Linked DNA regions of Rattus norvegicus. The protein of the gene in region 2 purifies or fractionates together with the protein of the main gene of each other region. This does not show direct contact. Links are inferred from orthologs where the notes say so. Each region holds a gene or a part of one and is shown on either strand. Other genes may lie near its edges. The genes, in order: Stx7, Napg, Nsf and Stx12.

Region 1 (7,934 bases), on a different chromosome or scaffold from region 2:
TGCTGTGTCTCCTAAGATTTCTGTGTTATAGATGGGAGTTCCCAGTTCAGACAAGTCATGGCTAATGTCAACTATCAACTTATCGAAATTTAGAATCACCTTGTAATAGGCCTTTGAGCATGCCTGTGGGAGATTGTCTTGGTTTGATTAACTGAGGTGGGAAGACCTGTCCACTGTGGGTAACACCATTCCCTAAGCAGAAATCCTGGACTAGAGAGGAGAAAGTGAGGAGGGCACAGACATTTGTCAGTCCCTACCACTTGACTGTAAACTAATGGTTGTCTTGTGTTCTTGATGGTGCTATTTCCTTGTCATGATAGTTTGTAACTCAAAAGTGTGGGTCAAAACAAATTGCTTTTGCCAGAGTATTCATAGAGCCAAGGAAAAGTAATTAAGACAATATGCTAATCTTGCTTGAAAGAGACCTTAGGAGTTACCTGTGATTAGGAAAGATCAAAAGGGCATTAGCAGCTTTGTATGAAGATTGCTGTCTTGACGAGCGCTTCTTTAATCCTCAAAATGTCATATGTTTTATATTAAGTATAAAAATAGTCATAGTGAAATACATTCAGAAACGTTGGATCAAATAAAGGCAGGCTCATTTCTTTACTGAGCCATTAAATAGATGCTAAGTAATAAAATGTAGTACCACAATTTTCAGGAATTCCTTTGGGATCCATTTGCTCTCTGAGCCTCTAAGCTTAGCAGAGTATTATACTTAATTTTTCTCTTTGAAGTAAAATGACTAGGAAAGAATCCAATTATTATGGTTTAAAAAAATGGCAACTTGGGGCAAGCTCAAAATTTGGAATTCCCAGCTTTTGTCCCTGTATAGCCAGTGACTAGTAGGGCAACTCAGAGGTCTTTGAGTCTCAGTGTCCTCTCTATGGACCTGTATTGTATCCTTCCTTCTACCCAGTCCAGGATTCTAGCAAAAGTAATAGGGAAGGGCGGATGGAAAGCATGTTAGATATCAGTTCCATTTCACAAATCCTCTCTTTGGCTCTCCATACCCAGTTGTTGTACAAGTCTTCTTGAATATTTGTCACCTTAACCTCACCTCTTCTCTGTCTTATTTACTTTAGTGCAGCCCTTCAACATCTCCAGTCTTGATGAAGTTCTTTAGCGAGGTCCGCTACTGTTGCATGGTGGGCGTGGTATTGTTACATGGTGGGCGTGGTATTGTTACATTATGGGCGTGGTATTGTTACATTATGGGCGTGGTATTGTTACATTTTTGGCATGCTACTGTTACATTTTAAGCATACTATTGTTACATTATAAGCATACTATTGTTACATGATTGCCTTTCTTCTCTGTAGTATTTCCCTTTAATTTTCCTTACTTCTCCCAGACTTTCCTTTGTGGCAGGAAGTGAACAGCACTTCTTACCTTTCATCAAAATCTTGTAGTAGCTCAACCCCCACCACTCACTTAACGTGAGACAGGAGCAATTTGCTTTAAGGATCTCGTTTGCATTCCTAGCATCTTGACTTTTTAAAAAATATGTATTTATTATATATAAGTACACTGTATCTGTCTTCAGACACTCCAGAACATCAGATCTCATTATAGATGGTCTTCAGCCACCATGTGGTTGCTGGGATTTGAACTCGGGTCCTCTGGAAGTCAATGCTCTTAACCACTGAGCCATCTCTCCAGCCCTTGTCTTTTGAGTCCATGCACGATGCTTCATCCGAATAAAGTAAACATTTACACGTATTATACACACTAAAGTCAACATGCCCACTCCTTCCTTGGCAGAAAGGTCCCTTTCCATGTTGTCTTCCAATAAAACTTTATATAACTTTCCAAAATTTTTGTTCCTGTTTTCACTTCAAAATTTATTGCTGGCACTACAGTAAGGCACTCATCTTTTGCGTTAGCGCCGTGCTCTGTATAAATCTCATCACAGTGTGTGCTCTCCCGGAAAGAGCACCACTGCCAGCTAGGAAACCACCGGACTCTACTCAACCATGAAGTCTGTACTACAAGGCCTAATAGTCGCTGCATTACAGACTCTTAGCAGTTAGCAGCTGTCTGGATTCGGTGGCACGAAGGACTTCAGAGTTTTGGGCAGGACACTCAAGCCTTTGCTATTCTTTTTTTTTTTTTTTCTTTTTTTTCTTTTTTTTCGGAGCTGGGGACAGAACCCAGGGCCTTGCGCTTGCTAGGCAAGCGCTCTACCACTGAGCTAAATCCCCAACCCAGCCTTTGCTATTCTTAATTATGTATGGGGCCTGGAAGTGTTTTGTGTTTCAGGTTCCTGAATCTGTATTATGAGGAAACAACTAGACTTTCTAAAAAGACTCTGTAGCTTTAACAGCTAACATGACTTTTTATTGCAGAGGTTTTTGCCTTGTGATTTTTAAAAATATAACAAGTTTGACAAAAGGATTGATTTCAAAGAAAAACCTGAATTTCCTCTGTATCTTAGGAAACATATAATGTCACTATGATGGGCTAATATTTCTATAAGTTCACAGTGGAGACGACAGGTAGAACTCAGGGGTGGATCAACTACCTGAAATGTGAGGCCTTGGGTTTGATCCCTAGTACCTCCAAACAGAACCACAAACAACCTGGGACAGGCCTGTACTCTGAACGATGAGGAAAGAGGGTTGCAAGTTCAAGGCCTACCTGGGCTACACAGTGAGTTCAAGGTTAGTCTGGGCAACCTATAGAGACTTTGTTTCAAAACCAAAAACCTCTGGTGATACAGGACACAGGGAAGGCATGGGCTTCTCATGGTCAATGACCTTGGTTCAGTTTCCAGTGCCGGAAAAAAGCAGCAAAACCCTACAGTTCACAATGGCTCTAGCTGTATCACATCACACTTTAAATGGACGCACATCCTTTGACCAGTGTGCTTAGTCCACTGTGGATCCTACTTGGAAGATGCGGTGTTTGAGTCAGACTTAAATCACCGATGTATGCTTGCATGTGTAAAACCAACCAACGTACAGTTTGCTCTGCGGTTCTGACTCACAATAGTCTGGAACTACCACCACTACCACCCCACCCCCACCCCCTACCCCCACCCCCAGCCTCCACCTGAATTCGACTGCACTTTTGGTATCATGCGTTTTCATATTCTTTCCAGAAATAACACTGTCTTAATTACAGGCAAAGGCCAAGGCAAGATCGTCTAATTAATTTGGAAAAGTATTTCTTTTACCTGAACCACTGATGTTTCTCATCTGAGAGTCACATGTTTAAAGAGTTATTGTTGGAACAGTCTGTGCTCTTAAAGCCTGGGAAAACCGCATCCTGTATTTCAAGGACGAAAGACCCATCATGAGCCAAGAAACACCCTTACCAAGTGGGCATCGGGAGGTGAGTCTTCATTTATTCTTTGCGTGGGCTTAGCTAGGATTGCCTTGACATTTTTGCAGTGACATTTTAAAATGGAGTTGTCAAGTCTGCCACAGAGCTGAGGGTTAGGAAACAGGACCTTCAGGAGCTGAGGGTGCACCCTCAATCCAGGAAGGATGGCGCCACCGAATAAAGAACGCAGCTCTCCTCTATTGGATTTCTTCCTCTTTTCTTGCATGTAGACATCACTTTGTCACCCATCAAAGCTTGGTTCCCTAGGAATTTTGCCAGTCCCTCCAAGCTTCAGCTGTCACTGGCCAATGGGAGAGACGCGAGCCCCGCCTCCTTCTTCCTGGGGCTTTGGCCCTGCGCATGCGCATTGGGAGTGCTTGCGCCACCGCCCATTCGCTGAGACTGGCTGCGCAGGGCCGTGGGCCCTCGGTGACAGCAGCTGGAGGTGACAGAGGAAGCCAACGAGGTCAGGGTAAGAGGAGACTGCAGAGGCGGGGGCGCGGAAGGGACACTCCAGAACCACTGCTCGCCGGTGGTTGGTTTGGGGTGCGCAGAGCGGGGCTCCCTAGGGCGCAGGGCCAGCGCCTTCCTCTCGGGCTCCCACGCCCCGAGGCGGACTCGGGAACGAGCACCCAAGCGCGCGGCAATGGAGCCTCGGGGACCTGACCTGCCGCCAGATCCTGGCAGGCAACAACCGTGTTTTCATTTTCTGTCAACTTCCCCTCCAGAAAGACAGAAAGGGAAACGCGATGGGCCCTGGTCATCCGGCCACAGGTTCGTTCTGTGGCCCAGAGCATTTGCTTGCTTGGCTGTTGGCCCTACTCACACAAGCTAACTTTCTCTGACCTACCTTGTGCACGTCTTTAATTGATTTACCCACCAAGACCCTTAACAAAGTATTTTGAGAATTCCCATATGTGTTTTGTAGGTTAAATTCAGACAAAAGAGAGAGGGGGAGAGGGAGAGGGAGGGGGAGGAGAAAAGAAGAAAGAATGAGAGAGAAAAAATGTTGGGAGAGGATGCTTTATAGTCAAATGGTAATTTTTTCCTTATAGTTTTTAAAAATTATGCTTGAATTTTATATGCATATATTATTTTTGGTTGCTTTAGATCTCGTATTCTGTTAGGAATTATTATTTACAAGTTTTCCACAATCAGGAAAAAAAAGGAAGTAACTGTGGAACACTGGTTTGGTCCGGTTGAAGGTAGGCATTCCTTTAGGTGTACCTGAGCTGTGCTGTGCAGAGATTGATAAAACTGTTAAATTGTATCGAGGTGGGGATGGGCCTTCGGATTTGCAAGCTGCTTTGGAAGTTGGCCCTGGGCTTGTGACTTGCTAAGAATAAGGCTGTAGTTTCCCAGCGTCTGGGGAAGTTAATATAACACAGTATTAACTCATTGACCTCTGGGTGCTTTCCCTTCAGCGAGCTCACTTTTTATGCTGCTCCCGATTAGCAGTCATTTCTAATTCTGATTAGGATCCCAAATGCATCCATATGGTGCTGGTGGAAAATTTTGAATAATGTTGAACTATATGCCACTAAATGGTGTGTGCACAAAACCCTGGTTCAGTCCCCAGTACTGCAAGGTAATATTTCTGCAGTGTCTGATAGTCCTACTAGGTAAAACTCCCACCCTTTAGTCTGAGTGAATTTTGCTCTGGTTCAGTGTAACTCGAAATATTAATGTGTGAAACTGGAGAAAAAGAATGCTTGGTGAATTAACTGAAAGCAGACAGTGTAGCACAATGGTTGGATCCATGAAGGAGCTGGGTGAAGACGCACTTGAGTAGTTCGTGGATGAATCCTCATCTGAGAGTTGGAGCACCCTCGTGTTCATTGATTGGGTCCTATGACTCCTCTCCTGCTTGTGTCAGGACTTGAGAACAAAGTGTGAGTGGTCCAACCTCCTGAGGATGATGCATGGCTCGAAGTAGAAGTTACACTGACAGAGCCGTAGTGGAGACTGCTCATTTCAGATCCGGCGTCTCTGGTGTGTGATAACACCTTGCAGGGAGAAAGAACTAGGTGGGCGGGTGTCATGGGAAGGGTCATCTAGAGACAGAAAAGGGACACCAGAAAAGCCCAGGTGGCAATAAACCTGAAACAGTGTTTTAGAAATGTTAATATTTACTCTCAGGCTGGGCATGTGTTCTTGGGATATGGGTACACTTGTTGATTCACACTTCAGACACTTATTCAAGACCAAGTACTAGGGACTAGACTTTGTCCAAGATTTATACTCCCCGTACAGCACTCACCACACACACACACACAAATACAAACCCAGGGGAGTAAAGGGGGAGGAAGCTCATAGTTTTATGCTGGTACTCATGATTTAAAAAGCGAAACTGGCCATTCGATTTCAACAGGCTACATTTCAGGCCAGTTCTCTGCTCAGCGGAAGCCTTTAAGAGTCTACGATGGTATGTCCAGGAGTAACTCCGGGGTAGTGTTTTACATTCAAGAATCTATAACGAAATCCCCTTCGCTTGTTTTTAGATTGTACTTTCGACACGATCTTGAGACAGCCCTTACCGTGGGTGTTACAGTTTGGCCCCCGCCTCTCCTCTTTCACCTCAGTGTTTGTATATCTTCATAAAAAGATAATTACTGAGAAGTTGAGTTGAACGCTGGCCAATTGAGCTTTCTGCGGGGAGAGAAGTGAATATGTGAGCTGTTCCAGCCACTGGCTACTGGCCCCATCTAGTTTCCAAGCACTTGAAAGGTAGCCTGGGTGGCTTTCATCTACCTTAATTCACTTTAACAGTGCCTGTCAGTAGCAGCTGGTCTGCAGGAAGTGCAGGTGCGCGGTGAAGAGCTACATAATTATTTTGAGCGAAAGGAATTCCAAATAGGTTTTCAACACAGAATAATTTTGGGCATTGCAGCTCAGGCTACGTCCTGCAGATGGTTATAGAGCACAGGCACTTTACAAACACAGAATCAATCAGCTCACTTGGAAAAATAGACCTCAGAGTCATCTATCGATAATTATTCATGAATTTATATGTTTATTTTTTTTTCCAGCAAAGTTAGCCATTGTCCCACTTAACTTGTCTTACATCTAAAGAGCCAACTTGTCTCTTTTAAAATGTCACCATAGCCGAACAGGACAGAAAGGGAGAGTACTGCTCAGTGGTGTTACCACCGTCCAAGTTTGTTTCCTTGTTGTAAAGAAACTACCCCCGGGCCGCAGAAACGTGTCAAGCGTGGTCGTGTAGTTGACCTGGTCCACCTGTGCTAAGTTGTTCTACAGAAAGCACTAGGGTTTAGTCTAGCGTTTGCGACAATATGAGCTCCCAGATTTACTGTGAGAGTTTAAGTCTTTTGCTCATCTCAGCGATGCCTCTGTTTCTTTGTAAAAAAAAAAAAAAAAAAACCAAACCAAAACAAAAACTACAAGAGTAGTTATGCCTACTACAGAGGCTTTCGAGATTGAGAGAAACAATCATAAAAGGCACCATGTGCAGGAAATAATTCAGCCCTTTCTCCGATTCCTGATCCCTCATCACTCAAGACAGGACCGTGGTGGTCATCTCCTTACCCTTTCTCTGGTCAGTTACGCACAGATGAGGAGGGGAAGCCCTTAGAGTGAGTGAAGCCCACTTTTCTCACCACCAGCCACGTTCTCCAGTTTGCTTGACTACAGGGAATAGAACAGCAGGTTGTGATTGTGACTGTCTGACTTAAATTATGGAAAGGAAAAAAATCCCTTTAAAAGAAAACACTGACAAAGTTTGCACTGTATGCGTGTGAATTTTGCGAGGTAAGAGAAAGCTGGAAGGCTTTGCAGGAATGAACCGGATCCTGACATTAGTCTCTCTGTGTGTGGGGAGTGTAGGTTTCAGGGGAGTTTGTGGCCATATGCCTCTGATGAGAGCCCCATAGGTGCAGGAGCACATCAGACCTGTCCTCTGTGTATAGGAGAAAAGCACTTGCTCCCATTATCTTATTTTGATCCTGGCAGGAGGCCCAGATGCTAAGTATCTCGCCCAAGGTAGAGCTTTTCTGGTTGCCACTTATCCTAGCAACTGAACAAGCAGGTGATGAGTGCTAGTAACTTCAAAGAATGGGGGGCAGAGGGGGGAGAGAGAGAGAGAGAGAGAGAGAGAGAGAGAGAGAGAGAGAGAGAGAGACTGAGACTGAATATTAAAGGTGCCTTCTGTAGGTAGGGATGTGAGACTTATTTGTACCCATGGTTACAGGAAGGAGTTATTCACAGGGTGTCTATGTTGACTGTAAACCAAGGGTCTTTTTGGAAGCTTGACTGACTGACAGAAAGATGCCCCTGAGCTGACAGAAATTGTCTTTATCCATTAAGAACAATATTATATGTCAATAAAAGGCATTGAGGTACTCACACAGCTCCTACAAGGATCTTGAAAATACATGGAGAAGAAACAAGTCAGTCACAGAGAAAACACACACACACACACACACACACACACACACACACACACACATATCATGATCCCACTCATGTGAAACATCCAAAATAGAAAACCATTCAGGTGGATTAATGGTTCCAATGGCTGAAAGGTTGGGGACAAACAAAAGATGAAAAATGATGGGAAGGAACTTTCTTCTCGGAGTAATATGCATTAT
Region 2 (7,852 bases):
AGGTTTAACCCAAGAATTGATCCAGGAGTTGTTATGCAATTTCCCAGCAAAAATACATTCTGCATTAATCAATAGCGGATTTACAAATAATGTTTGGGGATTAGTCTTATCATCATTTGGAAGTTTCTTCCAATTGGACTGAGATTTTGGGAAGTTATTCTTGGCTTTGGTTGGAATAAAACCAATCCCATCCATCATGGTTTGTTATCTTTATGAGTATTAATTAACAAGTTGATAACAGCAACCTTCATTAAAGAATAATGCCTGAATCTCAGGGAGATTAATGTGGAGGCTTTCCTTTTGTAGACCATCTTGTCCAATACCTGCTCCACCATTCCAGCTCTGGGCTCGATTACGCACTGATTCCCTGCTCTTATTGGCCCTACCCACATGGGCTGATGGACAGTCCACTCTTCACTGCCACTAACTCTGTGTAATTGGTTCACCTTATTCTCTCACACTCTGTTTATACTCTTGTCAAGGTCAACTGTTCCTCCCGGTCCTCATTCACCATATGTCTCGTCACTCCCATCTGTCCCTTCCCTACACTTTTCCTTGAAGGAGTTTTTAGAACAGTGGCCTAATTCCCCTGGAGCAATCCCTGCCTTATTATTCTAAGAAGAGAATGAAGGGAGAACGTGGCGGGTATTAGTGTCCTCACGGCCGCCTCTTGCTTTTCAATGTGAATGGAAGTTATTATGTATTTAATAAAGTTTCCCTAACCAAGGGGTTATCTTTTCGAACAAATAGCACAAAGGTTGGTGTGGCTGTCATTCTCTTTTCCAATCCTTATTTACTGATGCTGAAATATAGGTAGGTGAATATTGTGCCCATCATAGGTCACGGACTCCACGAGGGCAAGCAAGCCGTACCTTGCTTAACAATTGTGTCCCAGGAAAACAAGACTAATATTTTGGGCAGAGTGAAGGAGAAATAAGTAATAACTTAAAAGTGTGCACAGGGGCTGGGGAGATGGCTTGGTGGTTAAGAGCATTGGCTGTTCATCCGGAGACTCCAAAGGCAGCTCACAGTTCTGGGCTCCATAGGCACTACATGTACATCACGGACAAACATACATGTAGGCAAAACACCCATATACATGAAATAATAAAAATAAACACTCTGTGATAAAAAGAGGGCAAAAGGAGGAGCATCAGGATCTGAGAGGTATGGCCTAACAGAACGTGTCAGCCAGCTTTCTATGTCTAACAAGATGTTCAGACTCTCAAAGAGCCTGGATTTCTTTCACAGCTTTGTGTGGGTTAAGTCTGCAGCCAAGTAGCCTCCTTTCCTTTGGGCCTATGGCAGTAAACTGTGGCAGGAGACCATGGTGGGAGCTCATTCAGTTCCTAGCCTGGAATGAAAGTGAGAGAAAGTATGGTTCCCACTGTTTTTTCTAGAGAGAGCCTGTCTTAGTTAGGGTTTTACTGCTAGGAGCAGACACCATGACCAAGGCAACTCTTGTAAGGACAACACTTAATTGGGACTGGCTTACTGGTTCAGTCCATTATCGTGAAAGCAGGAGCATGGCAATGTCTAGGCAGGCATGGTGCAGGAGGAGCTGAGAGTTCTACATATTGTTCCAAAGGCAAACAGAAGACTGGCTTCCAGGGAGCTAGGATGTGGGTCAAGGGCAGTTCTACATGAGGTGAGTTTTTTTTTCAGAGTAGAAGGAAAGATGGAGGGAAAGTCTGCAAAGAATGAGTTTATGATGACAGAGCACAGGACTTATCGAGGACAGAATAGTAAGTGTGAGAAGGGGCAGCGGATTGGCCAATAAGAAGAATCTGTCAAAGGCCAAGAGATACTAGATCGAGATAAGAAGCCAGAAACTAGGAAAGAGGGCTCCTAAAATCGGCACCACAGAGAACACACTAGTATTTGTAACTGAAGTCAAGGATACTTTCCTGGAAATGGGGTGGCTGTGCTCATTGGCCTCCTGTTACTGTTGGAAACATTCCAGATCATTTGTTTATGTGGGGAAGTATGTTTTCTTCATGGTTTCAGTCCATGGTGACTTCTCCCCTTTGCTTCTCAGCTTAGGAAGCAAGGCAGTACAACATGGTTGGAGCAAAGTGGCTCATCCCATGTCGGCCAAGAAGGGGAAGATGGAAGAGGGGCTGGGGTCCCTACATACCCTTCAAGGATAGAAACAGCCTGCGAGGACTTACTTATTTTCCTTCCACCAGGCCTCACTATCTAAGGGTTCTATCAGCTCTAATAGGTGTTGGTTTATAGACAATTCCACTAGGCGCCTCCTAGGAACCTAGCAACAGCAACCTAGCAACAGCTTACCTCATTACCTGCCACCATGTGTAAAAGAGGATTGCTGGTATCCCTAGCTCTCTCTCCATCTTCTAGTCTGCTTCCCCCTTCCCCCTCGCCCTACCTCTCCTCCCCCCTCTCTCCACACACACCCCCTCAATACCCCCCCCCCACCCCGTGATCCCAGCAGGTCTTTTCCTCCTTTCTTCTCTCTCTCTCTGTCCTTCTCTGTCCCTGGTCCCCTCACCTTCCGCCCTTTTCTGGCTCTACCACTTCTAGCTCTGTTACCAAGCCCAATAATCTTTTCTTTATACTAGGTTTGTCATATAGTGTGACTGATTGCTTAGTCTGCGCCCACCAAGATGCTCACTCCCGCCACAATTATTCCACTATGCCACCGTTTTACAAAACACGCTAGATGTTGGGCATCAAATCTACAGTGTGTGGCCCTTCAAGAGACACTTTTCAGACTCTCAGTATCTAAGGTGGGTGTAAGAAAAGATCATTACAGATGAAAAACTGAGAGGCCGCATAGGCGTGGCAGAAATCAATATGTAATCCCAAGACTCCCACTAAGTATCAGCAGAGCCGCCAAATCACCTCTGCTAGACTATTGCAAGGTCCCCTCCCCGTCGGTTTGAAATGCTAGACTTATTATTTGACAGTAACCAAGGATTACAGTCTGTTTTTATGACTGACTGATACATAACTAGAATCAGTTATAAAAGCTGTAATGGGTAGTGTACCAGCACTTGGAATATAAAACAGAAGAAGGAAATCATAAAAGATGAATGATGCGCAAGTACTATCATAGATGTAGTAAAGAGAAACTAATAAATTGCAAGGACAAATAGGCAAAGGTTCGACAGCATTTTCGCAGCGTGAAGACACAGGGCTCCTGAGAAGAACGCTTTCTTGTTTTCCAGGACTAGTAAAGACCAGTACTCGACTTCTATTAATTGCTCCTTAAATATTTGTAGGGTGCAGTAACCAACGCTCGAAAGAACGCACCCCTGTAATTAACCGACAACACCAGCTTGAGCACCTCCAGGTTAGCTCCGCATCACTGCGCTTGCGCGAGGCCTGGCCCCGCCCTCCTCGTCCCTTCGTCCCACCCATTTCCGGGCCAGCTTTGCCATAAGAAATTTGAGCTCTTCGCTTTCCGTAGGCCCCTTTCCCGGCTTCCTCCGCGGCGTTCCCACGCCGACGCTCTAGGTGTTTTGCTGAGCTCTAGGCTGTTTCACTCTTCGCGTCAGCAAGCGGCCGAGGCAATGGCAGCCCAGAAGATAAACGAGGGGCTGGAGCATCTAGCCAAGGCAGAGAAGTAGTACGTCGAGTCGCCGCCGGGCTGGTGAATCGCGCCCCTCAGCCGTGCGCTCGGGCTGGTCGGGAGGGAGGGTCATGTTGCTGTCCGTGCTCGGGGCGGTGCCTTGCCTTTTGGGTCAATCCCCTGCAGTCGATCGTGCCAGCCTGCGCCGCGTCATTTGCTGCAGACGCCCCTGTGACAGCCACGTCTGCCCGGCGCCAGGTCCTCAGGGTTTGCGGCTGCTCTGCTCGTTGCGGGCTTTGGCGTGGACACCTTGTCTCATCTTATAACATCCAGAATGACACTATGGAGGAAATCTTGCGGTGGAGAGCTACTGCTAGGAAAGAGACCCTGGTGCAGTGCGGGGGTGTAGACTAATTCTGAAAAACTCTCACTGTCAGACATCCTATTCACTGGGGGCAAGGTCTAAGCTTCCTTAGTCTTGTGGGTGTTCGCCACCTTTTGGTTCCGGGCTCAGTAGGCATACGTACTGGAAACTGCGAGTTCTCCTTAGTCCTCTCGCCCACTTTCGTGAATTACAACATACATATTTAACGATTATCGACTGTAAGACATTTCTTAGTACACTGTTAGGTGAATCATAAACTAAGATCTTAACTAATAGAAAGGCCTCAGTTTACAAAAGAGGAACCGAGGCGGTCTGAAATTTCCTGGAGACCTGTCCAAGGCTGCTCAGCTGAAAAGAGCAGGGCAAGTTTTAGGCAGTGGAAATTCACAAGCCCTTTCTGGTATACCACCTTGCCTCCAGGCAGTGACTAGGAAGGTGGCTGTCAGTGCAGAGGGTGATCCCAAGAACATGCATGGTAAAAACAAACATAAAAGAACAGAACATGTGCTCTTAGCTATAATGAAGTTGCATTTTGTGAACTTCAGGAGGATTTTGACCATCGGAGCTAAGGAAACCTTAGGAGCCAGGATTAGCATCCTTTCGTAATGGCTTTGACAAGTCCTCTAGGCAGTTGTATGTGGAGTTGAGAACTAGACCCCTAGGCATCTCTGTTGGGAGAAGACCTGTAAGAGAGGCCTTCTGTTAAGACAGGATTATAGATGAGTGGGCTTGCTTGTGGCTGCAATGGGGTCTGAAGGGTGCTTGAAGTTGCTGTAGGTAGGAGAGCCAGCAGGTGGTAGGACGAATGGATCAGAAGTGTAGGAGAGGCAGTGGAATTGGTCTCTGTTTTCTTATGGTGGTATCACTCATTATCACTGTATTCTGGCTTAGGAAAGTTTTCTTACTTAGGATGAAACCAGTCAAGGTCCACAACAGATTAGCCATCAACCTAATGTTAATCGGGCCTTCATTTTTGCTAATTAATGGTGCTCAGCTGCCTGGAGTTGATCTGCAGTTTTAAAAATCTAGCTCATTGAATGTTATGTCTTGTTTTGGGGAGACATCCATAATCACAATAAAGGGTATAATGGGTTCTTTGGTGAAGGGGCACAGGACTTTATTTTGCTGCATATTTTTCTCAATTTTGTAGATTAGACATTATATGTAATTGAAAATCTGCATATACATTTAAATCTTGTTACTATATATGCATATGTTAAATGAAAACTGTAGAATACATTTTACAGGGATAAGTAACTTCAGAGTTAGACTCACAGAATGAAGGGTGCACTTCTAAGGGCCCCATCTCTCAGCTTAGTAGCCACTGATGCAAATGAAGTTAGCAGTGTTGAAAGTAAGCAGACTTTCAGTAATTGAGCTGAAATTTATAAGATGGTGTTGAGCAATTTTTATGCATAGCCAAATTTAATACCTACTGAATTAGCTTGAACTGTGAGTTTGATTTTATTTTAAAATAAAAGTAAAATATTGCAGACAAGGCAAGAAAGATAAACATCATTGGGTATCTTTTGCTCTGGCTTCTAAGCCAGCATCAGTTCTGGAAGACTGTTTCTGTTTGTTGTCCTAACACATGACTTCTCTTTCTCCCTCCTGTTCAGTGGTGGTTGACCACACCCTTTATTTTCCCTCTGAGTGTTGTTCCGGTAGTCCCTGTAGTCTCCTCAGGAGATGCTGCCTGTGACCTTGGCATCACAGACACCAATGGCTCTTTAGTTGTATTCTCCCTGATAGCGTCTCAGCCGCAAAGGAAGATGTCCCTCCAGATCCTCTAGCTTGTTAAAGCACACCTTATGTGGCTTGTTAAGACCCAAGAGTCTGGTTCTGTAGATCTGGGGAGGGCTCATCGTACATTTCTAGCAAATTTCTAAGCAGTTGTTGATGTTCTGATCTGGGCACCGTGCACTTAAACGTTCTGTTTGGATGGTATGTAGACATTTCAGAAGAAGGGACATTGTTAATGGGGAGGGGAGGGAGGAAGAAGTGAGGGTGCATTTATTGGGAATACATCCGAAGACAATTGAGAAGGTGAGGGATCTGTAGCTGATGCTGTCTTTTTAAATAAGAAATGTCTTTCTTTCTCATTCTAGCCTGAAAACTGGTTTTTTGAAGTGGAAGCCAGATTACGACAGCGCTGCCTCTGAGTATGGAAAAGCAGGTATTTGTGCCTGGAGCCCTGTGCCGTTGTGTGTGTTGACTGGATCTGACAACGTTGTCTAGCTAGCAGTTCCAATGCCTCCCGGTAAACTTCACTCTTTAAACAGAAAAGCAGACGAGGACAGCTGCACAGGCTGCTTTGCATGTTCCCACACTTACCCTCAGCTAGAGCTGAGCCAGATCCCGGTGCACGCTCCTAACAGCAGACATGGGGTAGTGTCAGCTGTCCGGTGTCATAGGTGTTCATAAATGTTGCTTAGTTCTGTCTTAGACTTTCTGCTGTTGATCAAGCAATTTTATTTTTAATTTTTAAAACTAGTCTTGTTGAAGTTCTACCAATCTCTTTTTTCCACATTAACATTTATGAGTTTCATTTTGAGATACACTATCAAATGTTCATGAAGAGTTTTAAGCTGTATGCACATTTTAGTAAATTCACTTTCTATAAGTATAAAATATCTTAAAATACGCAACATAGGGAATTTGTTAAAAGTTTAGTATTTTGTTAAGGGATGATGCGATAGCTCTGAATGTCTGCTGTCGTTTTGGATATAAAGTAATAAAACATAATTTTGAGGCTGGCGAGGTAGCTTAAGTGAAGGAACTTGCTGCCAGTTGCCAGGCCGACCATCAAGCCGAGCCCCTGAGTTTGATGCCCTGGATCTTCACGGTAGACGGAGGGATCTGACCTCTACAGCTTGTGTCTGACCTCCCTGTGCATGCACAATAAAAATTTAAACCACCATGGATTTGAAAGTCCTCAAGCAAATTTTCATCTGTGACTATGTTCATGAGAGATCACCTAGAGCAAGCACTTTTCACTAAATTTTAGTTTCAGTTTGTCTCCAAAGAAATAACCTAGAAGCTACCATCATCATACACACAGAGGGTTTTTTCTCATTCAAAAGGGAAACCAGAGTCTTTAGCCCTGCATTTAAATACTGAGTAAACTTGTTGCTTACATTATGCAAATTGCTTATGTTTTGTATTTAAAGATAAATTTGCTTAAAATTGAGCTTTAGGTGGACTTTGGGTTATACTTTATACACAGTTGCTTAAGACCAAAGGCACATTTCTCAAGTGAAGGAAATTTAACAGCTTTGCTTTGTGGCTCCAGGGCCATATGCTGCTTCCATGAATCAATCTCCTGAATCACGTGTCCTGTTAAAGTGCCCTTCGTTTGTTCTCCTTGAGTGGAGGCAGAATATAGCCCTTCGATGGAACTTTTAAAGACAACTAGACAGGCAGGAGCAGGAATATTGTAGTATTCTGTTTGTTTTCTACACTTTAAGAGTTCTTCGAGAGTGGTTTTAAGAAGTAGTAGATGAGAACACTTTATGTAGAAGGGAGACTGAGGCCGGAGCATCTGCTCAAGTCAGAGGTCAGAGGTCAGTCTGTGCTGCGTAGTTGAGTTCCCAGCCAGTGAGGGCTGCAGGTACGGTGGAGACCCTGTCTCAGAATGACAAACAAACAGAAGACAACAGTTTCCTTAAATTAGTATGCGTCCTACTTTCTCATAACCCACCGTTGGTAGATTTTCCCAGTGTTAACATTGTCTTTCAGGGCCATCCTGGTTGTCTCACCCCTGTGAGCCTTCCTTGTGAAACAGCCTGCAGTGAGGGTTAGCTCTTTGAGGAGTATAGATAACTAAATAGAAAAGCTTTGTGTATCAAAAATGACTTACCTGGAGGGAAGATTTAGTACATGACTAGTTTCGGTTAGCTGCCCAGGAGGAAGCTGGAGAATGAGGCACCCTC
Region 3 (7,323 bases), on a different chromosome or scaffold from region 2:
TCTAGAACCAATGACAGGAAGCCCCCAAATAATGAAGACATGCTCAACCCCAGGCTGTTACTTCCTGCCTGATCTGTCAGAAACGTCCCCCTTGTCTTGTCCCGTGTCACCAACCCCACACTCACTTAGCACAGCTGCCAGAGAGATCTTCTGTTTAACACTATGTCACTACTATTCTCAAAACTCCCCGAGGGTTTAACACCTCTCACAGGAAAGAGTGCACTTCTCCGCAGAGAATAAAAAGCTCTGCGCTCACCCTCAGCTTTGGTCTCCTGGCTTTCCCCAACACTGCCTCTCTAGCACCGCACCTCTAATGTCCACAGTGAAGCAATGTGAAGTTACTCTAGCCCACCTCTGTCTGTGTCCCTGTGCCTCTGATGATGTCCCTTTTACACGCTGAGAGCTACTCACAACCTCTGGAAGATGCCTCTGTCTGTCTCTGCTTCTCAATTGCTGGGATTAAAGTTATGTGCCACCACTGCTTGGTGTTTTTATATTGTTTCAGAATTTATTATTTGTTAGTGTGTGTGTGATGGGGAGGGCGGCATGTGTGACAGTGCATATGGATTTTGTGGAGTTGGTTTTCACCTTCTGCCTTCACATGGGTCTGGTGATCAACTCAGGTCATAAGGCTTGCACACTATGTACTGCAGGATGTCATACAGGTGAAGGCAGCTACAAGACAGAACGAGGCCTGTCACTGAATGAGGAGGAAGAATGGTTGGGAGAAAAGTTTTAGAGAGGAAGAGACTGGAAGAGGAGAAGTCTCAGAGAGAACATGGAGGTTGATGTTAAGATTCCTCTCTGCACATTTACAGGTTGTTATGAATGTTCTTAAGGGATGCATGTGTACAGGGCTTTGTATGTTTAGGTGGGCAATTATATCTTATCAATTGGATCAGGGGTTATTGTGTTCTGTTTTTTTATGTGGTGATTTAAGTTTAAGAGAGTATGTGGTGGCCAGAGACACTAGGCCTCCACGGAATTGGGATGTGTGTTTCTGGCATGGTGGCAACCTGCCTTGGGAACTAGATGGGTAGAGAGACTGCTGCCAGGCTCAGAGAGAAGCCATCAGCAGTGTGATATGGGCTGGAGCAGAGCGGGTGAGATGCTTTGCTGACTAAAATGAAGATATCTACCAGATATCTTGGGGCACTGCAGTGCTGGACCTAGTGCGGGGTAAAAGACAACAATTTTTATAATTTCACAGCAACAATGTACCTTTATCCACAGTGAGCACCACACTGGCCTGATAAGCTTTCTGGAGTCAAAGTCAGCCAGAGGTTTCCCACACGCTGTGTGACTACTTCAGGAAGGAAGACAGCACAGTGTTATGAAAGGGAGAATCAGGAAAGGTTTAAGCAAAGGATAGTTAGTGCACAGGAGGTAGGTGGCAGCCATGACAGTAGAAAAGCACTGCTCTGGGACCTGACATAGGACACAGAGGTATGCGGCAGAGATGACTCTGAAATCTTAACATGAGAGGCTGGCATAAAAGAAAAAGGAGCAAGAGAGGAGGTGGTTTGTTGGATCTTAAATTTGGGTTCTGAGAAAACACCCAAGTAGAATTACTATATATGAGTCAGAAAGTTAGAAGACTGGCACTGTCAGGGATGAGATGGAAGTCTGCAGCTACAGAATTATAGGGACAAGTGCAGCATGAGAAGCACCTGCACCAAACTTCACCGATCCAAATCAAAGGCCTCTCGAAAGTATTCTTACCATAATACATATTATATGATTGTACTAAGCCAAGCATGATGGCTCCAGCTACACAGGAATCTGAGGCAGGAGCATTACCAGCTCAAAGCTTACCTGCAATACATAGCAAGTTCAAGGCCTGTTGTGCAAATTAGTAAGCCCAATATAAAAAATAGTCAAAATGGATAGGTCTGTAGCCCAGTGGTAGAGTACTTGCAAAACATGCATTAAGGCTGTGAGTTTAGTCCTCAGTGGCACAAAGACAGATAAACAAGAAAATCAGAGCCCCATCCCCCCAACACTTTGTACTAGTCCATTTTCCTGACTCTGAATCCCTTGAGGGAAAAGGTCGATTCATCTTCATGTCTAGCCCAAAACTAGTAGCAGCTATCCAGTATTTGCTGCATGATGAGAAAGACTCAGCTTCTTGTAAGTTAAGGCCATGCAAAAGTCAAAAACAACAATCTTCAAAACCACACCTGCCAGGCGGTAGCGACCAAAGGCAAGTAAGCTGGTGGTCACCCTGAGGAGACATTCCCCCTCCTCACCATCAAAAGCCAGCTTACTCTCCCTGGCATATGTGGTAAAGAACGGGGGGCATGGCCCACACAGGCCATGTGTTCTTGTCTGTCTGTCCATTGAGTTTCCTGACCTTTATGTGTCTGTTCATGGCTGTGGACTGCGCTGCTCGCACCAGGCCCTCCAGCTCGGCGCCACTGAAATTCTTAGTCTCCACAGCCAGTTCCTTGATGTCCACATCCGCAGACAGTAGCTGGTGCCCTCGCATCCTTGCTGTGTGGATGTGAAGGATCTGCAGTCGGCCCTTCTCATCTGGTAAGCCTGGTGAGACAGAAGCAGACATTTCCCTAGTCTTTGGAGTCCTTTGGAGGTCACAGTCCCAGAGCTTTCCTTCGAGGTGGTCCAGCTGTAGACAGCTGGCAGTGAACATTACTGAATATGAGGTTGCTCTCATCAATAAAGCCACATGCGAAAACACGTGTGCATGGACACATAGGCACATAAGCACCGGTGCAAGCACACACGAAAATGTACACACAAGTCTGTACGCACATGCACATGTATGCAATCTGAGACCTAGTTTACTTACCTATCTCCATCTTAACTTCCAGTCTTCCAGGTCGAAGGAGAGCCTCATCAATCAAATCTGGTCGATTGGTCATTCCTGAATGCAGATATTAAGAGCGGTGAGCAAATAAATGATCAGAGTTCAAAAGTGAGATTAAAACATACTTCCACTCTCTGCAAAACACAGCGACCTCATTAAGGACTTATTACAAAAGTCAAACACAAAGCAGCAGCACTGAACTAAGAACGGCATGTGTATTTTACCTAGTAGGAAACAAGGAACGAGTTTGCAGTGAAATCTCTATTTAAAAAGCAAACTTAAGCAGCAAATACATGGCTGAAAGAGAGCGGAAGGGTCTTCCCAGCTCCCGGCCTCCCCTCTTCTGTATGTAGCAATTTTGATGTCCACAAGAAGCGGTAACGGTAACGTTTTCCTTTTTAAAAAGCATCCTAATGCAGCAGCTCAGAATGTGCAACGGTAAAAACATTGTGGGAGAAAGCAGCTTGGCCCCGAGGCCCAGCTGCAGGCAAGCCTGCATCGTCGAGGTGCATCCTTTACTTCAGACATACCAATAACGAGGATGTTGTTCAGCTGCTCGACGCCATCGATCTTGGACAGCAGCTGGTTGACCACAGTGTCGTGCACCCCGGTGCTGCCGGCCATGCTCCCTCTCTGCTTGCAGATGGCGTCGATTTCATCAAAGATGATGATGTGCAGGCCGCTGTTGGCACCGAGCTAGGAGGCAAGGAGATCCGGTTAGAAATCACAACCTGGACACATCAATAAACAAACTAACCGAGAAATGCAGAACGAAGCACTCGACAGGTTGGCTTTGCTGCATTTTGATTAATAAATGTAGATGAGTGGAAATCAAATCGTGGATGTTGCCCTCTCAAAGATATCAGAATTGCAGGACAGCTAATAATTCAGTAAGTTCACACGGGCTTCTTAGCAATTTATATTTAGTAATTATGCTTCCCATGAGGGAGCAGAGGGAATGAGCTAGAGAACCTGAGACCATAACCACATGGTTACTATGGGGTGCAGTAACATTGCAATGTGTGCCCATAGCATGTGACAATCAGATAAGGTAACTGACGCGTCAAACATGCAACAGTTCTTCACTTGGGGGATGATCAAAGTCCTCTCTACTGTCGTGAAATATAGACTTAATTGATGTCGATCATGATTCTTTTACTTTCTATGTTTAACACAAAGACGAAACAAGGAATAATAAAACAGAAGAGATTGAACATAACCTAATTAGGAAAATATGTAAATAATACAAATTAAGTGATGAACATGGCGAACCTAAGGATTAGGTTAGAATTCACTAATCTCTGAGTGTGTGTGTGTGTGTGTGTGTGTGTGTGTGTGTGCATGTGAGGTGTGAATGTGTGTGTGTGTGAGTGTGTGTGTGTGTGTGCACGTTGTTTGAGACAGCTTTTCTATGTAGCCTTGGCTGGCCTGAAACAGACCTGAACACTGGGATAAAAGATGTGTGTGGGGTTGGGGATTTAGCTCAGTGGTAGAGTGCTTGCCTAGCAAACGCAAGGCCCTGGGTTCGGTCCCCAGCTCCGAAAAAAGAAAAGAAAAAAAAAAAAAAAAGATGTGTGCAAGCACACCTGACCTATAACAATATGATCTTTCAAAGAGGTGAAATGGGCCACTGAATTGGCTCAGCGGGTAAAGCCACTTGCCACCAAGCCCAATGACCTGAGTTCAATACCCAGGACTCACAGAGTATAAGAACTGATTCCCACAGATTTCCCTTTAACTTCCACACACACACACACACACGTCATAGTCCACACATATCCACAGTCATTCAGATACTTTTACACACACAAATACACACGTGCATACATACGCAACTTTAAAAGGGAGGTTTAGGGATATAAATAGATCAAGCCTGGGGACCTGAGTTAGATCCCTGGAATCTATGATAGAAGGTGGCTCCCAAAAAGATCAGTCCCCCGATCTCCACACACATACATGCACACAAACCCAAATAGTAAATTAAATTAAGGGATGTAGTCTTACCAAAGGTAAATGCTATTAATATGACAATATTTCTATTTTAATTTTACAGTTATTTATGGTGTGTGTATGTACATATGTCTGAGAGCCAGGGTTCACATGTGGAGGTCAGAGGACAACTTGTGGGCGTTGGGTCTCTCCTTTCACCAAGTGAGTCCTGGGAACTTGAAGACCCACTGCACAGGAAGAGCCCTGCTCACAGCTTGACCAACTCAGCTGCCGCCCTGACCCAGATCCAGCTTCAAGTCAGTCCACACCAACAGCTTCTCTATCTACGAGCCGAGCTGCTGGAGCATGTGGAGGAGCCAGTGCTGCGGAACCGGATCGGGGAGCACGTTCTCACCACCGAGGATGAAAGCCTGAAGGGGGGCTGTGATGGGACTGGAGTCCCTCTGGAGAGCCTGAGAGACCCACGGAGGCTCTGAGGGCAGACCAGGCAGCAGGGGAGGTGGACTCATGAAACTGGGAGGAAAAATGGTGGAGCAGAGCCCCGTGTGCAGGGGAGGACAGCTAAACCATAGACTCAGTGACAAAGGGTATGGAAGCGACATGGGCAGCTGTGGCACCACTGAAGTCCGTGGGGACACCCGTGGTTTGTGCTGCCCTCTGAAGCCATAGGATGTCTGTGACTCATGCCGCCATCACAGGCTATGTAAGTATCTGTGGTCGGTGTTGCTGCTGGAGCCCATGTGGATGTCTGTGGCCTGTGCCTCTGCCAAGAGCCATGATGGTGTCCATAGACCGTACTGCAGCCAAGGGCAATGTTGACGTCCATGGTTCACACTACCGTTGAAAGCTGTGGGAATGACCGTGGTCTGCGTGGTCATCTGTATCCCTGTTCACGTCCGTGGTCTGTGCCCCTGCTAGGGGCCATGTTGATGCCCATGGTTTGTGTCATCACTGAAGGCCATGTTTCTACGTGTGGCCTGTGCTGCTACACGAGGCCATGTTGATGGCCTTGCTCCTGCTGCTGCTACTGCTGGGTGATGTGTTGATGCCCATGGACCATGTTACCACCAAAGGCCATTGGGATTTCTGTGGTCTGTGCTGTAGCCAGAAACCATGTGGAAGTCTATGATCCTTGCTGCTGCTGACTATAAAGGGTAAGAAAGCTTCTTTTCATTGGTGTCAATGACTGCAGCCTCACAGGTGAGAATGAGAGGCATAGAAGGCTTCTGTGACAACCTCTTTTCCTTCTCCTCCTCTGTAGGTTGATGTCAATATGCAGGTGTGGGCTGGCACCAGTTAGGTCAAGGTCATGATTAGACAGTAAAAAAATAAGGCAGGGACAAGGTTTTTGTGGGAGAGAAGGAAGGAGAATCGAGATGGAAACTGAGAATGACCCAGACCTACGTGGTCCTGAATTGCCAAGGTAGCTCAGACGGATTTCTGTGGGAAAATTTATCTTATCTAGGTGGGTGGTTTACATCCTTATCAATTGGTTGTAAGTTTATTGTGCGGATGTATTATGGATTGAGAATTTAACATATAATCTGACTGCTGGGTTATAGTTTGTTGAGCCTTGGTTTTAAGGGGTTGTTGGGAGTTTACATAACTATTAGGGGCGGAAGTTGGGAATGTAAACAGCAGTGACAGACAGAGAGTGACAAGAGCGTAGCCACCACTGGCACCAGGGGGGAATGTGGACAGCAGTGACAGAGAGTTACAAGAGCGTAGCCACCACTGGCACCAGGGGGATTGTGGACAGAGTCCACTGTAAGAGATAGGATAGTCTCTGTATGAAACTAGTGTGGCAGTGACCTGCCTGGGTCAGAAAGTACTTCCGGGGCAGTGTGGAGCTGCTGAATTAATTAGCACTAGTTCCAACGGCCTGCTGGAGCCGGAACTACGCACAGGAACCAGTTCCATCCTCTTTTTATTTTTACCACAACACACCACCACCTCTCCTCCCGAAAAAGAAACAGCCTAGACAGGAAGTCATGGAAGAGAACTCTGGAAAACTGTCATAAGGATGTTGAAATGTATGCAGCTCTTTACAGTAGGTGGCTTCTGGTGGAAGGGAGGACCTGGGAGGACTGGGAAGTGAATGTGACTGGGGCGCATTATGTGAAATTTCCAAATAATCAATGAAAACATTAAGAAAACGGGAGCTCATCACACCTTGTCTTCTCTTGAACACTTACTGTTCTTTGAAAGAAGCTCAAATACTTGTTTTTGTTTTTAGTTGTTTGAAAGTGAAATATTTTGATTTTATTTATTAAAACTGTCTTCCTGTAAAATAGTTTGAACATGTTCTTCCCCTCCCCCAATTCCACCCAGATCCTCTCCACCTCCCTAACCATCCAACTTCACCTTCTCTCTCTCTCTCTCTCAAAACAAAGACAAGTCAAATGATCCAGCAACAACAACAAACCCAATAAGGCAAAAACGACATATTCACACAAAATAAGACCCAAAAACAAGCCATGAGATCCATTTCATGTTACACTAACCACTCCTCTGCATGGCCACTGTGCAGTGTGGCTGCTACGTCC
Region 4 (7,323 bases), on a different chromosome or scaffold from region 2:
TAGGAAAATAAGCTATTTAAAAAATATAGTATTTGTTGGCTGGGCAGTGGAGGCACATGGCTTTAATCCCAGCATTTGGGAGGCATAGGTAGGTGGATTTCTATGACTTTTGGAGGCCAGCCAGGACTGCACAGAGAAACCCTGTCTTGAAAAACCATTAAAAAAGAAGAGACTGAGGAGGAGAATGGAGAGGAAGAGCAGGAGGAGAAGAAGAATACAGTATTTAAGTCAGATGCGTAGCCCAGAGCGGGTTCTCGGTTTATAGTTAAGTAGTTAAATAAGTAGTGTTGTGAAGGTAACTATAAGTTATAAGTTTTTTTTTAAGTTCTTGAAATTTTTTAAAATTCAAAAAAAAACTATAAAGGAAAATAATGGTAATCTTCAGGAAAACTAATAACTTAGTATAGAAAAGTAGTTTTAATATTTTCCCCCCCCAAAAAAACTAGACGCTCTGAGCTCAAAGGCCTCCACTATGCATTTAGATTCTCCAGGGCCCAGATATTCCAAATTGCACTTCCATTTCAGTGTCGTGTAAACGTCACCTGGTTCCCACGCTCACCTGTATGTTCTTACGTGGGTTAACTGGGGATTTGACTCAGGAAGGAACAACTTAGGATTTAAGGAAAAGCCCGTTTTGTAATGACTTTTGTACCTCGAAATCTCTTAAGTATATAATTGTGCTTTTAATCAATATTAAACCAAATGAATCTGAGTTCTCTTGAGATTTAAACTTCTTGCTTACTGTCTTCAGCGCCAACAGAAGCTTCAGAAGGAGCGGCTCATGAATGACTTCTCGTCGGCCTTGAACAATTTCCAGGTTGTGCAGAGAAAGGTATCTGAGAAGGAGAAAGAAAGCATCGCGAGAGCGAGGGCTGGATCCCGTCTTTCTGTAAGTTGACTCCCCAGAGAGGCTTTTACCAGCCCAGAGGGTGCACCCAACACGTCCCCTTTCTCCACCAGAGAGGCTTTTACCAGCCCAGAGGGTGCACCCAACACGTCCCCTTTCTCCACCAGATAACATGCTTTATGTTCTCGGTCCAACTGAAAGGCAGATTTACTTCCTACCTTTGTTTTTTCATTGTTTTTAAAAGATTTATTTATTTATTGTGTATGGAGTTCTGCCTGCATGTACACTTGCAAGCCAGAAGAGGGCATCAGATCCCATTACAGATGGTTGTGAGCCACCATGTGGTTGCTGGGATTTGAACTCAGGACCTCTGGAAGAGCAGTCAGCACTCTTAACCGCTGAGCCATCTCTCCAGCCCCACTTTCTCCTATTTTATACTTGTTTCTTACTCAAGACAGATCGACAGAGTGTTATCCATCTTACAGATGCCATCAGAGTGGAGGGTTGTCACTCCTTAGTACTGAAGCTAAGGCAGCTCTTGTTTTGTGCATCTCTCATGTTTTTTGGATAACAGCCCGATAACCGTCTGTTTTCTAGGCAGAAGACAGGCAAAGAGAAGAGCAGCTCGTCTCATTTGACAGGTAAAAGTCACTCTTGCAGTCTGCTGGATAGTCACTGTGAATCCATACCTTTGTGTCCATGGAGGTTTTTCTGTATGGAGGTTTTGCTTGCGTGTAAGTCTGTATACCGTGTGTATGCCTGGTGCCCACAAGGGCCAGAAGAGACCTTTGGATCCCTTGAAACTGGAGTTCCAGAGAGTTGTGAGCTACCATGTAGGTGCTAGGAATCAAACCTGGTCCTTTGTAAGAGCAACCAGTGCTGTCTGTTGATCCATCTCTCCAGTCTCTCTGTGACAATTTTACTTAAAAATGAAAAAAAAAAAAATCAGGGCTGGTCGTAGTGGCATATTCCTTTAATCCCAGCACTTGATAAGCAGAGGCAAGTGGATCTCTGTGAATTCAAGGCTGGCGTGGTTTACATAGTGAGTTCTAGGACAGCGAGAGCCACAGTGAGAACCTATCTTGAGAAAAGAAAAAAGAAAAAGAGCATAAGTAAGTAAGAGGAGGAGTTGAGCCAGGCACGGTAAAGCATGCAGATGACTCAGTGGTTGAGAATACTGGCTGCTTCTGCAGAGCAGCGGGTTCAGTTCCCAGTACTCATACGGTGGCTCACATTAGTTCAGTAAATAGTACATTTTCCTTCTAAGTGCACTCACAACCATCTAAAACTCCAGTCAAGGGGTCCAAAGCTCTCTCTGGCCTTTGTAGGCACCAGGCTTCCACATGGTGCACAGCATTACCTGAAAAGAAATCAAGTTGCACACGTTCCATTAGCTTTTAGTTTGCTTTTCTCTTAAGTGGAGTCGATCCCAAATCACAGCCCCAAGGGATTCCTGTGCGCCAGATGTGGCTCTGACAGATGAGTCCGTGAAAGCTGTGTGGTGGCTTAGAGTATTTTCCTCCATTTAGTGCCCCTGGCACCAGCCCTGCTTACACTTGGAGAGTTTCCTGCAGAGCTGGGTCTGTGCAGTTAATTCATCACGTTAAACCTCTGGATACTTTCCTTGTCTAGCAAGACTGCAAAGAAGAAGGAAAAGAAAACCCTAAGTGGAAAAGACCAGGCCCACAGGGATGGTATTGGTAGCAGAAGAGTTGGGTCCTGAGCAGCATTTACCTAGGCTCTGCTGTTAGCAGAAATGTAGCTATGTCTCCTCACGGTAGAGAGAAGGAATCAACCGAGTGCTTGTCTCCCCGTAGCCATGAGGAGTGGAACCAGATGCAGAGCCAGGAGGAAGAGGCGGCCATCACTGAGCAAGACCTGGAACTTATTAAAGAGAGGGAAACGGCGATTCAGCAGCTGGAGGTGAGAGCAGGCTATGGCGTTGGTTTGGCTCAGGTGTCTGCAGGTATTAGGGGATTTTTTTCCCCCAGACTAATATGGAAAGGGTTGGATTGAGTCTTTGTGTGTTTTACATTATCTATCAATTTAGTTTTGGCAAAATTCAACTACTGCTCAGTCTCGTTGGCCTGGGCACTCAAAAGCGCCCAGATTCTTTTTTTTTTTTTTCTTTTTCTTTTTTCTTTTTTTCGGAGCTGGGGACCAAACCCAGGGCCTTGCGCTTGCTAGGCAAGCGCTCTACCACTGAGCTAAATCCCCAACCCCTGAACTTTAAAATTTTTAAAATTTAGTTTGTTTTGTATTTTTAAGTTTATGAGTGCTCCTGGGGATCAGACGAAGGGGTCAGGTTCCTTGGAACTGGAGTTCTGGGTGGCTGTAGGCTGCCATGTGTACGCTGGCAACTGAACCGGGGTCCTCTGCAAGATCAGCGAGGGCTCCTAGGTGCCGAGCCACTCTCCAGCCTCCTAAAGGGAGCGATTACTGGGGGCTGCTTACAGTTTAGACAGGCAGGCATGGCATGAGGCAGAGAGAGAAACCCGGCCTGGCTTGGGCTTTCGGAACCTCCTCTAACAAGTGCCCACCTCCCTATCCTTCCTGCATGGCCCACCTCTGGGCAATACTTATTCAGACCACACCTCCTGGGGCAATACTTACTCAGACCACACCTCCTGGGGGAATACTTACTCAGACCACACCTCCTGGGGCAATACTTACTCAGACCACACCTCCTGGGGCAATACTTATTCAGACCACACCATCTGAGCACACCTTTAACAGGTGCCAGAGCACTGTTCTTCCACTTGACTTGTGTCAGGCCTTGGCTTATTACCTAGGAAAGTAAAAACCTGAACATGGAGAATCTTCCCTCCATTACTCCTGGAGATAATACTGTGCGGCTGAGCCCACCACGCTGGGAAGTTCGGAACTTTTTCCTGCACAACGGATGTCCTTTCACTCTCCCAATTGTTCCCCAGCCTCGGAGCTATTTGTCAGCTGGAAGCTGTTTACAGGCTGTCATCCAAGTGACACAGACCCGGTAGTTCCTCACACAGACCGAGTCTGTCCTGGGAAGCCATCTCCTTGACAGTTTGTTTGTCTTCCATTGTGTTCCCCAGGCAGCACAGTCCTATAGAAGCCATTTAAATTCTCTAGTCATAAGTCGTAGTCGTCACTGATATTTGCTCTTCCTAGAGCTGCCCTACTGAGCACATGTCCACCACAGGACTCCAGCTTCCGTTGGGTACGGCTCAGGCTAAAATGACTTGACCCGTTCCCAGGAAACATGAGCAGTTAACACAGCTCAATGAGTGGGTCTCCTGACTTTTGTTCTACAGTGTTAGGTAAGCAGCAGTAGATAGTTTCCTATTCATGGAGAAACTTTAAAGACAGGTGATTGTTAATCTTTAGGGAAGGGAAGGAAAGAAATTTCTAACATGTTGCTTAATGTGAGCTAATTTTTTTTTTCTAAATCTCCCTTAGGCTGACATTTTGGATGTCAATCAGATCTTTAAAGACTTAGCTATGATGATCCACGACCAAGGTGATCTGATTGGTACGTACTATAATCCATCTAGCCTTAGGGTGAGTACAAAGAGCTCAGCAAGATGGGTCGTTATGAACTTACTTTAGAAATATCTTTGTTTTAATATCTGAATTCACTTTCTTATGCAGTCAACTGTTGAGGCTAAAGAGGGTGCTTTGTGTTAAGCCCTGCTCACTTTTAGAGCCTGCAAGTCTGTTAGAGCAAGAGCTGTCGGCACCCCAGCTTTGAGCTGCAAAATAAAAAAAAAAAGTACAAGGAATCTTTTATATATCCCTGCGCAGAATTTTCCTAGTTAATAACATTTTTGCCCCATTTACTTTGCGATGTATTCTATCTGTATGTGTAGATACACAAGCATGTGACCTGGACGACCCCCCCACCCCTGGTCTTTTTTTTTCTTGAACCCTATATAGGTGAATTACATAATTAGTAACTCCTTGCTATTAAATGTCAGTATTTATTTCTGAGGAATAGTGCTGTTCTTTATCATGTTAGAAACGTGTAGCTGGGAATGGTAATGAGGCCTGTAACCTCCGTACTCCTGTAGAGACATGAGGTCAGGAATTCAGGCCAGCCTCAGCCACATGGCATGCTGTTGAGGACGTTGAGGCTGTCTTAGACTACATGAGACGCTATCGAAAAAAATTAAATGCGAGCTGGAGAGATGGCTCAGTGGTTAAGAGCACTGACTGCTCTTCCAGAGGTCCTGAGTTCAAATCCCAGCAACCACATGGTGGCTCACAACCATCTGTAGTGGGATCTGAAGCCCTCTTATGGTGTGTCTGAAGATGGCTACAGTGTACTCATAACATAAATAAATAAATCTTTAAAAAAATAAAATGAAAAGAAGTAAATTTTCGTTCTCATGCTGGCTAGTCTGGATGGTAATGGTGACTCTAAGGCCTGAGCCATCAGATCTGCTCAGAGGGGCTGGATAATGGCACAGCAGCTAAGAACAGCGGCTGCTCCTCCAGAAGACTTTGATTCTCAGCACCTACACGCCAGCTCACAACCATTTGTACCTCAAGTTGAAGGGATCCAACACCTTCCAGGCATGTACATGGTATACAGACATACATGCAGGCACAACACCCATAGGCTTTAAATAAAAAGGAAGAAAATGTGCTTGTTTGTCTCAGTATTGAAATACCTGAATTGCTGAAATCTCATTGCATCTTTTACAGATAGCATAGAAGCCAATGTGGAAAGCTCAGAGGTGCATGTGGAAAGAGCCTCTGATCAGCTACAGAGAGCTGCTTACTATCAGGTAAATGCCAATGTCAGAGTCACTCTGTGCTCAGACTCAGTGACCCTCCAGGCTGTGCTCACACAGTGCTGCAGCTGCAGTCTTTTGCCTGAGTTTAAGCTGGAGACCGGCAGTCATAATTTGCAGCTCCAGTCCCATTTTTAGTATTTATCTTTGCAACCAGATATCCAACACCATCAAATCCTGAATTCTATACAGAAGCTGTGTGGCTGTAAAGCTAATGTCAGGAGCCAGCGTGATGCGTAAAACTTTGTATCCTGTTGGGGATTTGGCTCAGTGGTAGAGTGCTTGCCTAGCAAGCGCAAGGCCCTGGGTTCGGTCCCCAGCTCCGAAAAAAAAAAAGAAAACTTTGTATCCTAAATAAATGGAGGGGCTGTCAGGAGAGCTGCAGTAAAGGCCGAGCTACAGAGACAGGAGACACCACGTGGACTGCTAGCTCAGCAGGGTGCCTTAGAGCCAGCTGTGCACACAGCTCAGTGTAGGCTTTAATCATCATGAAGCTGTGCCCAGGAGGTGATTTTTATAGTTTTATGGCTTTTATGAGTCTTTTTTGTTCTGTTTTTTTGAGACAGGGCCTCACTGTGTAGTCCTGGCCGGCTTGGACTTCACACTTTGTAGAGCAGGCTGGCTTGGAACTCACAGATTCTCCTGCCTCTGCCTCCTATGTGCTGGGATTAAAGGCGTGTGGCATAAGACCCTACTCTTCTTCCAGTCTATAATCCAGGTTTTAGATACTAAAAATGATGTCCTCATTTGATGTTGCATGGCTTTTTAGAAGTAGCTAGCATTTTAGTCATTTTCTGTATTCCCAGGGTAGCTGTATTTTACCTGGGAATACGCTTGAGGAAGTTGAGTTTCATAACGGTGTTCTTGAAAAACTGATGATTTTAGAAGATTATATCTTCCCAGCATTGTAGTCTGTGGGGACTAAAAGATGTTAATGAGCTTATGGCAGGAAAGGAGAGCTCGTGTTAAGCGCTAACAAGACGAACACACAGTATGATCCAGTCATTCCCAACAGGAATGCGCCCAGGTGAGAGAGTAGGCGGAGCCTGGCCTGCAGGCATGGGTCTTGAACCCAGCATTCAGGAGGCCAAGATAGTGATCACTCTGGATTAAGCTCACCTGGACTAGAGAGAGAGTACTCCAGGCCAGCCATGACTACACAGCGAGACCTTATCTCAACAAACAAACAAACAAACAAGACAGCAGAAAGAAATAGAATCTTATGCTAACAGTCATATCTATAGGTGATTATTTTCTTTCTACTGCTCATATATTTTATAATGAGCATACAATCTGTGATAGGTGTGAAGTAGGTTATTAAAATACACACCCAAGGGCCTCGGGAGAAGGCTCAGTGGTTAGAGCAAGCACTAGCCCTGGAATCCAACTTGGTTGTGGCAGCTGCTTGTAATCCAGCCATGGAGGAGCGGACTGGCTAGTGTGAGGCGGGTCACAGCAGATGTCACGTAGGACCAAGGCACAGCTCCTCTGCAAAACTGTATTTGGGAACAGTGACACTTGCAGCACTACTGAGAACGGGCAACTTGAGAATTTTGAGAAGATGTTTGCATCTTTGTGGGTGGTAAGAGTTAATTATAAGGGCTGGAGAGATGGCTCAGTGGTTAAGAGCACCGACTGCTCTTCCAGAGGTCCTGAGTTCAATTCCCAGCAACCACATGGTGGCTCCCAACCATCTGTAAT

What was found.
Region 1: the proteins of Napg (region 2) and Stx7 purify together in Homo sapiens (affinity purification with mass spectrometry; 3 studies listed by BioGRID and IntAct, counting the BioPlex papers as one, with this or other methods). This does not show direct contact. The link is inferred for Rattus norvegicus from reciprocal best matches to the Homo sapiens genes NAPG and STX7.
Region 3: the proteins of Napg (region 2) and Nsf purify together in Homo sapiens (affinity purification with mass spectrometry; 3 studies listed by BioGRID and IntAct, with this or other methods). This does not show direct contact. The link is inferred for Rattus norvegicus from reciprocal best matches to the Homo sapiens genes NAPG and NSF.
Region 4: the proteins of Napg (region 2) and Stx12 purify together in Homo sapiens (affinity purification with mass spectrometry; 3 studies listed by BioGRID and IntAct, counting the BioPlex papers as one, with this or other methods). This does not show direct contact. The link is inferred for Rattus norvegicus from reciprocal best matches to the Homo sapiens genes NAPG and STX12.

What each region holds. Positions count from the first base shown.
Region 1 is NC_086019.1:23,052,294-23,060,227, reverse strand, and holds the start of Stx7 (syntaxin-7), read left to right. Parts: upstream 1-3,762; 5' UTR 3,763-3,793; exon of another isoform or gene 3,794-3,799; intron 3,800-4,055; exon of another isoform or gene 4,056-4,101; intron 4,102-7,934. UniProt on the Homo sapiens protein: May be involved in protein trafficking from the plasma membrane to the early endosome (EE) as well as in homotypic fusion of endocytic organelles. Mediates the endocytic trafficking from early endosomes to late endosomes and lysosomes.
Region 2 is NC_086036.1:58,707,273-58,715,124, forward strand, and holds the start of Napg (gamma-soluble NSF attachment protein), read left to right. Parts: upstream 1-3,429; 5' UTR 3,430-3,536; coding exon 3,537-3,592; intron 3,593-6,028; coding exon 6,029-6,096; intron 6,097-7,852. UniProt on the Homo sapiens protein: Required for vesicular transport between the endoplasmic reticulum and the Golgi apparatus.
Region 3 is NC_086028.1:89,272,415-89,279,737, forward strand, and holds part of Nsf (vesicle-fusing ATPase), read right to left. Parts: intron 3,524-7,323; coding exon 3,358-3,523; intron 2,885-3,357; coding exon 2,810-2,884; intron 2,542-2,809; coding exon 2,354-2,541; intron 1-2,353.
Region 4 is NC_086023.1:150,349,884-150,357,206, reverse strand, and holds part of Stx12 (syntaxin-12), read left to right. Parts: intron 1-751; coding exon 752-889; intron 890-1,444; coding exon 1,445-1,488; intron 1,489-2,664; coding exon 2,665-2,770; intron 2,771-4,285; coding exon 4,286-4,358; intron 4,359-5,533; coding exon 5,534-5,616; coding exon of another isoform or gene 5,617-5,760; exon of another isoform or gene 5,761-7,323. UniProt on the Homo sapiens protein: SNARE promoting fusion of transport vesicles with target membranes. Together with SNARE STX6, promotes movement of vesicles from endosomes to the cell membrane, and may therefore function in the endocytic recycling pathway.